2 linked regions of the Saccharomyces cerevisiae S288C genome follow. Changing the gene in region 1 together with any one later gene gives a genetic interaction. Each region holds a gene or a part of one and is shown on either strand. Other genes may lie near its edges.

What was found. Genes that interact genetically often act in the same process or in processes that back each other up.
Region 2: mutations in ERR1 (region 1) and LEU3 together harm fitness more than expected from each alone (negative genetic interaction), as found in Saccharomyces cerevisiae (2 studies listed by BioGRID).

The regions. Positions count from the first base shown.
Region 1 is NC_001147.6:1,077,951-1,082,522, forward strand, and holds ERR1 (phosphopyruvate hydratase ERR1), read left to right. Parts: upstream 1-2,325; coding exon 2,326-3,639; downstream 3,640-4,572. Other genes in the region: HSP33 (glutathione-independent methylglyoxalase family protein), read right to left, coding at 595-1,308.
Region 2 is NC_001144.5:1,034,279-1,039,817, forward strand, and holds LEU3 (leucine-responsive transcriptional regulator LEU3), read left to right. Parts: upstream 1-1,814; coding exon 1,815-4,475; downstream 4,476-5,539. Other genes in the region: hydroxymethylglutaryl-CoA reductase (NADPH) HMG2, read left to right, coding at 1-1,486; GTPase-activating protein SST2, read right to left, coding at 4,992-5,539. UniProt on the Saccharomyces cerevisiae protein: Factor for control of RNA levels of a group of leucine-specific genes.

The sequences.
Region 1 (4,572 bases):
TTTTTTTTTTTTTTTTTTTAATTCATTTTCAAGATTTTAGACGTTGTATAATACATTTTTACCCACTACTGCGGTTTATTGTAATATTTTGTGAGATTTTATGAATGCGTTCCATCATCTATTTACTACAAAACGATAAATTTCCCCGTTTTCTTTTACTTTTACTTCATTTAATATAATTCATATTTATTTCCCATGTACCAATTAATTACTCATAAAAAGAACAGAAATAGAAAAAAGTTGTATATAACAAGCCAAAAAAAAGAAAAAAAAAGGAAAAAAAAGAAAACACAGCTTATTTCAAATTGCAATCTGCGTATTTCGTAAGTAACGAATGATCTCACAGCATTGCTTTTTTTTTTTTTTATATATATATGTACATTACCTATGTCACATATGACCATGATGAATACAACACTAAAAACCAAGGCCTACTATTCAATTGTTCTCTATATGATTTCCATTCTAGCAAAATCGAGTGCTACCGACCTGCCGTTTTCTTTACCTTTCGAACCATTGAGCTGTTAGCCTTCTCTTCACAGAAACTGAAAGTCATTAAAAGCCTCCCCTTCAACAATTCCCTTGTCTTTTGTTTCAGCTATATAATGCGTTTATAGCTCTAATTGTGGTCGAATAGGAAGAATTTGCGTTAACACCCGTAACTAGCTTTCCATCTGTAATAGAGTAGTCATCCCAGGGATGGATTGGCGCCAAGTACTTGGCTCCATTCTTGTTTGCAACGCGTTCAACCGTTGTCAATTTTCTGCTCCTCAAGATGTCGTCAACTCCCAGGGCGATTTCACCCTCGAGTGGGAAACCTGTTATAGCTTTGCCTTCGATTAATGGTCTTGTTGTTTTGATATCTATTAATCCATCGAAAAGGAGCGGTCCATGACAGATGGCAGCGATCACACCCCCATTGGCATATATCTTGGATGCAATATCTTGCAGATTTTTAGCTTTGGGATAGTCAAATAGAGCACCATGTCCAGCAGATGCAAAGAATACTTTATAGTCGCTGGCGTTGACTTCATTTGCGGTCTTGATCCTCGCTAACGCCTTATTGAAGGCGGAATTTTTCGTTTCAAAGTTCATCTTATCTTCGCCACCAATAAAGCTCTTTGGCAAGTAATGTTCATCCCAGCCAAATCCACCAGTCTCAGAAACGAAGTCCACTTCGAAACCATGCTTTTCGAATGTATCGAACGATCGCAAAATCTCAACTACAAAAACGCCTGTTTTCGCACCATCTTTGTAGAAGGGACCGTGGTATGAAGTAAGAGATATTAGCGCTCTTTTTGGAGTCATTGCAAGGCCAGTTTTCTTTTTGAATGAAGGAGAAAAGTGTTCTAGAAATATGTTTTAGTTCTAAGTATCGTTGTCTGGAGCAAGCAAAGAAAAGCAGACCTGTATGTGCAACTTTCCTGTTTTCCATTAAAATCTCAAGAACCGACCCCTTGACTGTGCTCATATATCAAGTATCGGTTTTAAAGTCCCCTAATTGTGATAATTGCAAGAACGACAGTCAGAAAGATATTTTTTTTTTTCTTTCTCTTTACCTATCCTCCATAAAAATACCTATGCTGATACTGAATATCTTCATTTGCAGCTATGCAATATTTCAGATACCCCATTTTACCCAAGAGTTTCTTACTGGTGGTTGGATTTTCTTTAAGACGAGAAGATTACCAGTCCTGGATGTTCGTGAATGTGCCTATTGCGTCATCAGCGACTCCGCGCCAAGAAAAGAAATACTCGCATGCTCGGATTTATAGAATCGCATAATGGAAATACCTTCCTTAAAGGATGGAGATAAGGAAAAAATGACAAGAACAAGGAAGTACTTGGGAGCTTTCTCCGACATGGTAAATATTTGAAACTCACGCAGCTCTCCTGGAAAGTTGGATCTGGAAAGGTAAGGTTGTTTTTTTTACAGACATCAACCAAAATCGGTTCTTGTAGTAGACAATGTCACAGATCGCCACAAGTTGAAAAAAAAGTTTCGATGAACTGGATAAGGGGAGAGGTCACAAACAAAGTGTAGGGGGTGAGTAGTATAGTGGTAACTTGTTCATTTACCTAAATAACATTCTCACTAGAAAAGAGATATTGAAAGACTCCTCGTTTACCTAACTTGGCTGGTTCTTAGGTATATAATAGAAACATGGATCTGGCAGGTTATCACTTACAGTTTGCACTCCCACCAGGTTACAATTTTCATTATATATAGTTATTTTTTACCACCACTTCTTCTTCTTTCACTTTGTCTTGCAATAGAAATACCAAAACAAGGTGAGGAAAAAATCGAATCTCAACGATAAAAATATGTCCATCACGAAGGTACATGCTAGAACGGTGTATGATTCTCGCGGCAATCCGACTGTTGAGGTTGAAATTACAACAGAGAATGGTCTCTTCAGAGCGATCGTCCCATCTGGTGCCTCCACCGGCATTCACGAAGCTGTTGAACTTAGAGACGGGAACAAGTCCGAATGGATGGGAAAAGGGGTGACCAAGGCAGTCAGTAACGTCAATAGTATCATAGGGCCTGCTTTAATCAAGTCCGAATTATGTGTAACCAATCAGAAGGGCATAGACGAGCTCATGATATCGTTAGACGGAACTTCTAACAAGTCAAGGTTGGGCGCCAATGCTATCCTTGGTGTTTCCTTGTGCGTTGCTCGAGCTGCTGCCGCACAAAAGGGAATTACTCTCTACAAGTATATAGCCGAGTTAGCGGATGCTAGACAGGACCCCTTTGTTATTCCTGTTCCTTTTTTCAATGTTTTGAATGGTGGAGCCCACGCCGGTGGCTCTTTAGCTATGCAAGAATTCAAGATCGCGCCAGTCGGGGCTCAGAGCTTTGCAGAAGCCATGAGGATGGGTTCGGAAGTTTACCATCATTTGAAGATATTGGCGAAGGAGCAATATGGACCTTCCGCTGGAAATGTTGGTGACGAGGGTGGAGTTGCCCCCGATATTGACACTGCCGAAGACGCCTTGGACATGATTGTGGAAGCCATTAACATATGCGGTTACGAGGGTAGAGTGAAAGTAGGAATCGATAGTGCTCCTTCTGTTTTTTATAAGGACGGGAAATACGACCTAAATTTCAAGGAACCGAACTCTGACCCATCTCACTGGCTCAGTCCAGCCCAGTTAGCAGAATATTACCATTCATTGCTAAAGAAATACCCAATCATTTCCCTGGAAGATCCCTACGCCGAAGATGATTGGTCCTCGTGGTCTGCCTTCCTAAAGACTGTCAATGTTCAGATTATTGCAGATGACCTGACATGCACCAACAAGACCAGGATCGCCCGTGCTATAGAGGAGAAATGTGCGAATACTCTGTTGCTGAAACTCAACCAGATCGGTACTCTGACTGAGTCTATTGAAGCCGCCAATCAGGCTTTCGATGCTGGATGGGGTGTAATGATATCGCATAGATCAGGTGAAACCGAAGATCCGTTTATCGCTGATTTGGTCGTTGGTTTAAGATGTGGTCAAATTAAATCGGGCGCTTTGTCGAGATCAGAAAGACTGGCCAAGTATAATGAACTTTTGCGTATCGAAGAGGAACTGGGGGACGATTGTATATATGCTGGTCATAGGTTTCATGATGGAAACAAACTATAAAGGATTGTCTTGTTTCCTTTTTTTTTTTTTTTTTTTTGTTTTTTTATGACTAAATAAAGTAAATCATATGAGGTTTTATTTTTTATTTCGTTGATTTGGGTTACAGTATGGAAATGGGGCATTTGACACAAGTTATTTTATTCATATGTTTTATCTTGTAGGAAATCAAACCGTTTTTAAAGTTTTCCATTGCCTACACACAAAATCATTACGAATCTGTCTGAACAAGGGTGGACGTGTGGGGGAAGGCTGTTCCAATCAAGAAATGCTTACAACTCTACTAACACTGCAGTTTTTCAGCTTTCTGATTAATCTCTTCGGTTTAAATTTTTTAGCAGCTATTACTTTCTAGTAACCCTTATAACGCGGTTGGTATCAAATCTTCCTGATAGTACAAGCAGACCTTTGACCCCATTCTTGTTGTGTCTTGAAATCTTTTTTTCTGACAAAAGTAAGAAGTTACACCATAATAGAGAAGTTAAATAATGAAAGTGTATCGATCATAGAAATGATTTTATTTTTTTCAACTACTGTTACGGTCAAGAAACTAATACTGAGGATAAGTTTTCGCAACAATGATTTTGGTACAAGTGATTTAAAGTCTTGAATTACTTCAACACAATTTGCTTTGCGACGGTTTAGAATAACGTAATCGTATCAACGAATCCACTAGGCGCGCGTAAAAATTACAGACTCTAACAATATACGACTCCCAGCACATACCTACTATTCTGTACAATTCCGGGAAATAGGAGGGTACAGTATTATTTTTTCTCGGCGATCGTTTAGGGTATACTGGAGATAGGCTTAGCAATACGCTTCTGAACGAGGATCTATAGCAACTAAATTCAGACATTCTGCTATACCAAAAAAGGAAGTATCACAGGCACGGAAAAGGGTTTTATAAGGCACCTCGGCACCCCTATAACTGGC
Region 2 (5,539 bases), on another chromosome or scaffold:
TTCAGAAACTCGAAGTATGCCTGCTTCTTCTGGCCTAGAAACTCCAGTGACCGCGAAAGATATAATTATCTCTGAAGAAATCCAGAATAACGAATGCGTCTATGCTTTGAGTTCCCAGGACGAGCCTATCCGTCCTTTATCGAATTTAGTGGAACTTATGGAGAAAGAACAATTAAAGAACATGAATAATACTGAGGTTTCGAATCTTGTCGTCAACGGTAAACTGCCATTATATTCCTTAGAGAAAAAATTAGAGGACACAACTCGTGCGGTTTTAGTTAGGAGAAAGGCACTTTCAACTTTGGCTGAATCGCCAATTTTAGTTTCCGAAAAATTGCCCTTCAGAAATTATGATTATGATCGCGTTTTTGGAGCTTGCTGTGAAAATGTCATCGGCTATATGCCAATACCAGTTGGTGTAATTGGTCCATTAATTATTGATGGAACATCTTATCACATACCAATGGCAACCACGGAAGGTTGTTTAGTGGCTTCAGCTATGCGTGGTTGCAAAGCCATCAATGCTGGTGGTGGTGCAACAACTGTTTTAACCAAAGATGGTATGACTAGAGGCCCAGTCGTTCGTTTCCCTACTTTAATAAGATCTGGTGCCTGCAAGATATGGTTAGACTCGGAAGAGGGACAAAATTCAATTAAAAAAGCTTTTAATTCTACATCAAGGTTTGCACGTTTGCAACATATTCAAACCTGTCTAGCAGGCGATTTGCTTTTTATGAGATTTCGGACAACTACCGGTGACGCAATGGGTATGAACATGATATCGAAAGGTGTCGAATACTCTTTGAAACAAATGGTAGAAGAATATGGTTGGGAAGATATGGAAGTTGTCTCCGTATCTGGTAACTATTGTACTGATAAGAAACCTGCCGCAATCAATTGGATTGAAGGTCGTGGTAAAAGTGTCGTAGCTGAAGCTACTATTCCTGGTGATGTCGTAAAAAGTGTTTTAAAGAGCGATGTTTCCGCTTTAGTTGAATTAAATATATCCAAGAACTTGGTTGGATCCGCAATGGCTGGATCTGTTGGTGGTTTCAACGCGCACGCAGCTAATTTGGTCACTGCACTTTTCTTGGCATTAGGCCAAGATCCTGCGCAGAACGTCGAAAGTTCCAACTGTATAACTTTGATGAAGGAAGTTGATGGTGATTTAAGGATCTCTGTTTCCATGCCATCTATTGAAGTTGGTACGATTGGCGGGGGTACTGTTCTGGAGCCTCAGGGCGCCATGCTTGATCTTCTCGGCGTTCGTGGTCCTCACCCCACTGAACCTGGAGCAAATGCTAGGCAATTAGCTAGAATAATCGCGTGTGCTGTCTTGGCTGGTGAACTGTCTCTGTGCTCCGCACTTGCTGCCGGTCACCTGGTACAAAGCCATATGACTCACAACCGTAAAACAAACAAAGCCAATGAACTGCCACAACCAAGTAACAAAGGGCCCCCCTGTAAAACCTCAGCATTATTATAACTCTTGTAGTTTACATGGTGATACTTTATATCTTTGTATTGTCTAGCTATTCTAAATCATCTGCATGTAATAAGAAGTTGATCAAAATGACTCGCTGCGTAAAACCTCTCTTCGATCGGAGGTGCCGCCTAATTTATCGCCTAGCACTGCGCTTTTTCAAAGTTTTTCAGAGCAAAAAATGAAAAGTAATGAGCACAACAATAGAAGAGTATCATGATATATAAGGTCATAAAACTAGGTTTCAGGGGCTATCGGCAATTTGAGGAACCTTCAACCTGCCTCAAGTAAAAATCGCTTCGTAACATTAATACAAATTCTTTTTGCAATTATGGAAGGAAGATCAGATTTTGTGGCGACTTCACAGTCCGGAAGTGAAATGAGCCATAGTGAAACTAGGAATAGAACTGGGATGAATGCTAGGAAAAGGAAATTCGCCTGTGTGGAATGTCGTCAGCAGAAGTCGAAATGTGATGCTCACGAAAGAGCACCGGAGCCATGCACTAAGTGTGCTAAAAAGAATGTCCCATGCATTTTAAAACGAGATTTCAGAAGAACTTATAAAAGAGCAAGGAACGAAGCCATTGAAAAAAGATTCAAGGAACTCACCAGAACTTTGACAAATTTAACTTCGGATGAAATTTTGAAGAAAATTGAAGAGGAACAGGAAATTGTTTTGGATAACAGTAATTTCACAAAAGAAAAAGTAAAACAACTCAGGAAGAGTGCTTTTGAGACGACAGAAATAGAACCGAGATCATACAAAACACTTCGAGGAGAACCTATTTCTTACAGTACCAACAGAAGACATACGGATTCTTCTCCTTTAACGCTCTTAAGCTCGTCGACAAACTTCGACCCTGTTCACTCAACAAACGTTATGACAGATGATCAACTTAAGTGCTTGCCAAAAAGCCTGGGCGACGTATATTTGTCAAGCAGCGATATTGCTGAGCTGTTTCAAGAATTTGCGACAAAATATCATCAATTTTTACCCGTCGTTGACCTTTCGAAAGGAGCAGAGCGAATTTATCACTTATCTCCTTGCTTATTCTGGGTCATCCTGCTCATTGGTTTAAGGCGGAAATTTGGGGCTACAGACTTAATGACTCGATTATCAGTGCTAGTAAAGTCAGTTTTATCAGAAATCACAATATCTCCAATAATTCGATATACTCCATCAGATAAGGACGAACCCGTTCTAAATGTAGCATCTGTATATTCCGTGCAAGCATTTCTTTTATACACGTTCTGGCCTCCCTTAACCTCTTCATTAAGCGCCGACACTTCGTGGAATACCATAGGAACAGCGATGTTCCAAGCGCTTCGGGTAGGACTAAATTGTGCAGGTTTTTCAAAAGAGTATGCTTCGGCAAATTCAGAATTAGTTAACGAGCAAATACGAACTTGGATTTGCTGCAATGTTGTATCTCAAACAGTTGCATCATCATTTGGTTTCCCAGCTTATGTTTCATTTGATTATTTAGTAATCAGCTCTATTAGAGTACCAAATTCAAAAAGCCAAGTAGATATACCCAATGAACTAAGACAAATGGCTCAAATTGCTAGATTTGAGAACCAAATCGTAAACACAATGAACTCCACCCCGGCGAGTGTTACTGGGATGGTAAGTCAGGAAGAGAAGCAGCCCTTGTTACACGTTCTTAATCAACAACTAAGTCAATTGGAGATTAGTCTTGAAGAAAATAACCTAGATGATATCCGAAAATTTTTATTACTAGTGGCCAAGGTTCACTTATTAACCTATTACTTCACTGATGTTACCTCCCAAAGTGCTGGAAAATCAAATGGTAATATTTATGAGGGATCATATTCCATTATGGAACTCGATACAAGTTTTGAAACGAAACGTGGATTGGTGAAAGTTTATAATGCCGCCGTAAACTTTCTTATACATGCCAATAGTATGTGGGAACATGATCCTACCATTATTAAGTACTTTCCTGGTTTGTTTGTCTTGAATATATGGCAATCTGCCTGTATTATTAGTAAACTCATACATTCATCACTTCATTCAATGCTAGATGTTAACTCAGGCAAAAAAGCTTATAACAACGCAATTTCATTGACGTTTAATGCCTCAGTTTTAAAATATGATATGGCGTACAGATCATCCGGAATAATGCGAAGCATATGGAGTTTATTTGCTAATATGTATGATGCCTGGAAAAACGACCAAAAGGAAGGTGGAGGTAGACTAAATAATGATTTCAATTTAGGCATCACCATAAAATCTAGGATGTCAGTAAACGTTTTTTTTGACTGCTTATATATTCTAAAAGAGAAATGTGGTATGGCCAAATTGGAGAGAGAGACCAAGGTTTCTACAGCTTACAATGTTGATGAAGAGGAAGAGGAAGATGAAGATGAGGAGGGAGAAGAAGAAGAAGAAGAAGAAGAACTAAGTAGTAAAGTTCCAGAAAATATGGATAGCCAGCAACTAAGGACAAGGAAATTCACCAATGTAAGGCATCCAGAAAAGAAAGCAAGAAAAATAATTGAAACAATTCCGCTAGACCCAAATCCAATAAATGCAGGCTCTACCAGCAGTGGAAGCTCATTAACGACCCCAAATAGTCAAGTAGCGAACACTATATCATATAGAGGAATCCTCAATAAAATGTCACCTAGGGAACAACTGAATCATGCAAATTTAGATTCCAGTGTTTCTACAGACATCAAGGACACTGAAGCTGTCAATGAACCTCTGCCAATAGGGAGGAATGCTGAACATCCGGCAAATCAACCGCCTCTTTCAATAACACAAATGCAAGAAAACACACTACCTGCGACACAAGCCAACTCTTCTCTATTAGAAACGTATCCCATTGTTCAATCAAACCCCGTTACAACTACAATCAAAGAATCACCCAATTCCATCATGGCAGGTTGGGATAACTGGGAATCTGATATGGTTTGGAGGGATGTTGATATTTTAATGAATGAATTTGCGTTCAATCCCAAGGTTTAAAGTCCTTTTCTTTTTTTGCGTAATGTTTACTTACCCTCGAAAAAATGTTATGTAATGACTGCGGTGCTACAGGAGAGGTAAATGATTTTCTATATACGTTTATATTTCTTCCATTTACGCACACTATTTTTTGTCCTTGAATAATTTAACTCAAAAAAAGTGTAAAAAACTGTGTCATTAGGTATATGTTCAATACTTTTGATCTTCAAATGACGTAAAAAAAAGTTTTCAGACGGACTTAAACCGCCAACCAGCCTTGGCCACAGGTGTATGATGCGAAGATTCGTAAGCGCTCACGTTAGTCACATCTCAGGATTGGAAATTATACTAGATAATAAATGGCTTTATTTAATCATATTATAGTTGATATAACAAATCACACCTCCGCTTAATTTATACGTAATAGTATTTACAGTCCTTATGGGTATCAAGACATATTAGGTTAGGAGAACTAAAGAAAAAAAAAAGGACTGTTTGTGCAATTGTACCTGAAGATGAGTAAGACTCTCAATGAAATTAGCACTTTTCTTGGATTTCTATTAAAGCGCTAGCATCTTTGTATACGTCTGACTGGGTAAATTTTTGAAAGGAATCGTTATTCATCAGTCTATACATTTCATTGCTAACGATCTCGAAGAGGGGATATAATTTCCTGAGGACCTTCAAAGTTGCTGGAAATGATTCAACCGATTTGGTATCATTTTGGGTGTTGTCCATGCCATAACGAACAATTGTATGTGAATTTTCTACTGATGCATTAGGCGAATGCGTTTCTGCCAGAGTTAACGGGGCAGGTTTATATTCCTTTAACTGATGTTTGAATCCTTGCTTCTTAAATGAACAGTTTTCATTTGAAAGATTTTTTGAAGGTTTTAGACTCACTTCAGGTGGTTCACCTAACGTGTCAGCCTCCGTTGAGCTAATTGATGAAGCTGCTGATTCCGCGGATGCAGGTGATGGATCGTATAGATTAGTAGGAAAGTGTTCCGATAATGGAGAATGAGGGTGCAACATGATGTCAGAAATATTCTGACGCAAGTTATGATGGATATTTAATTGATATG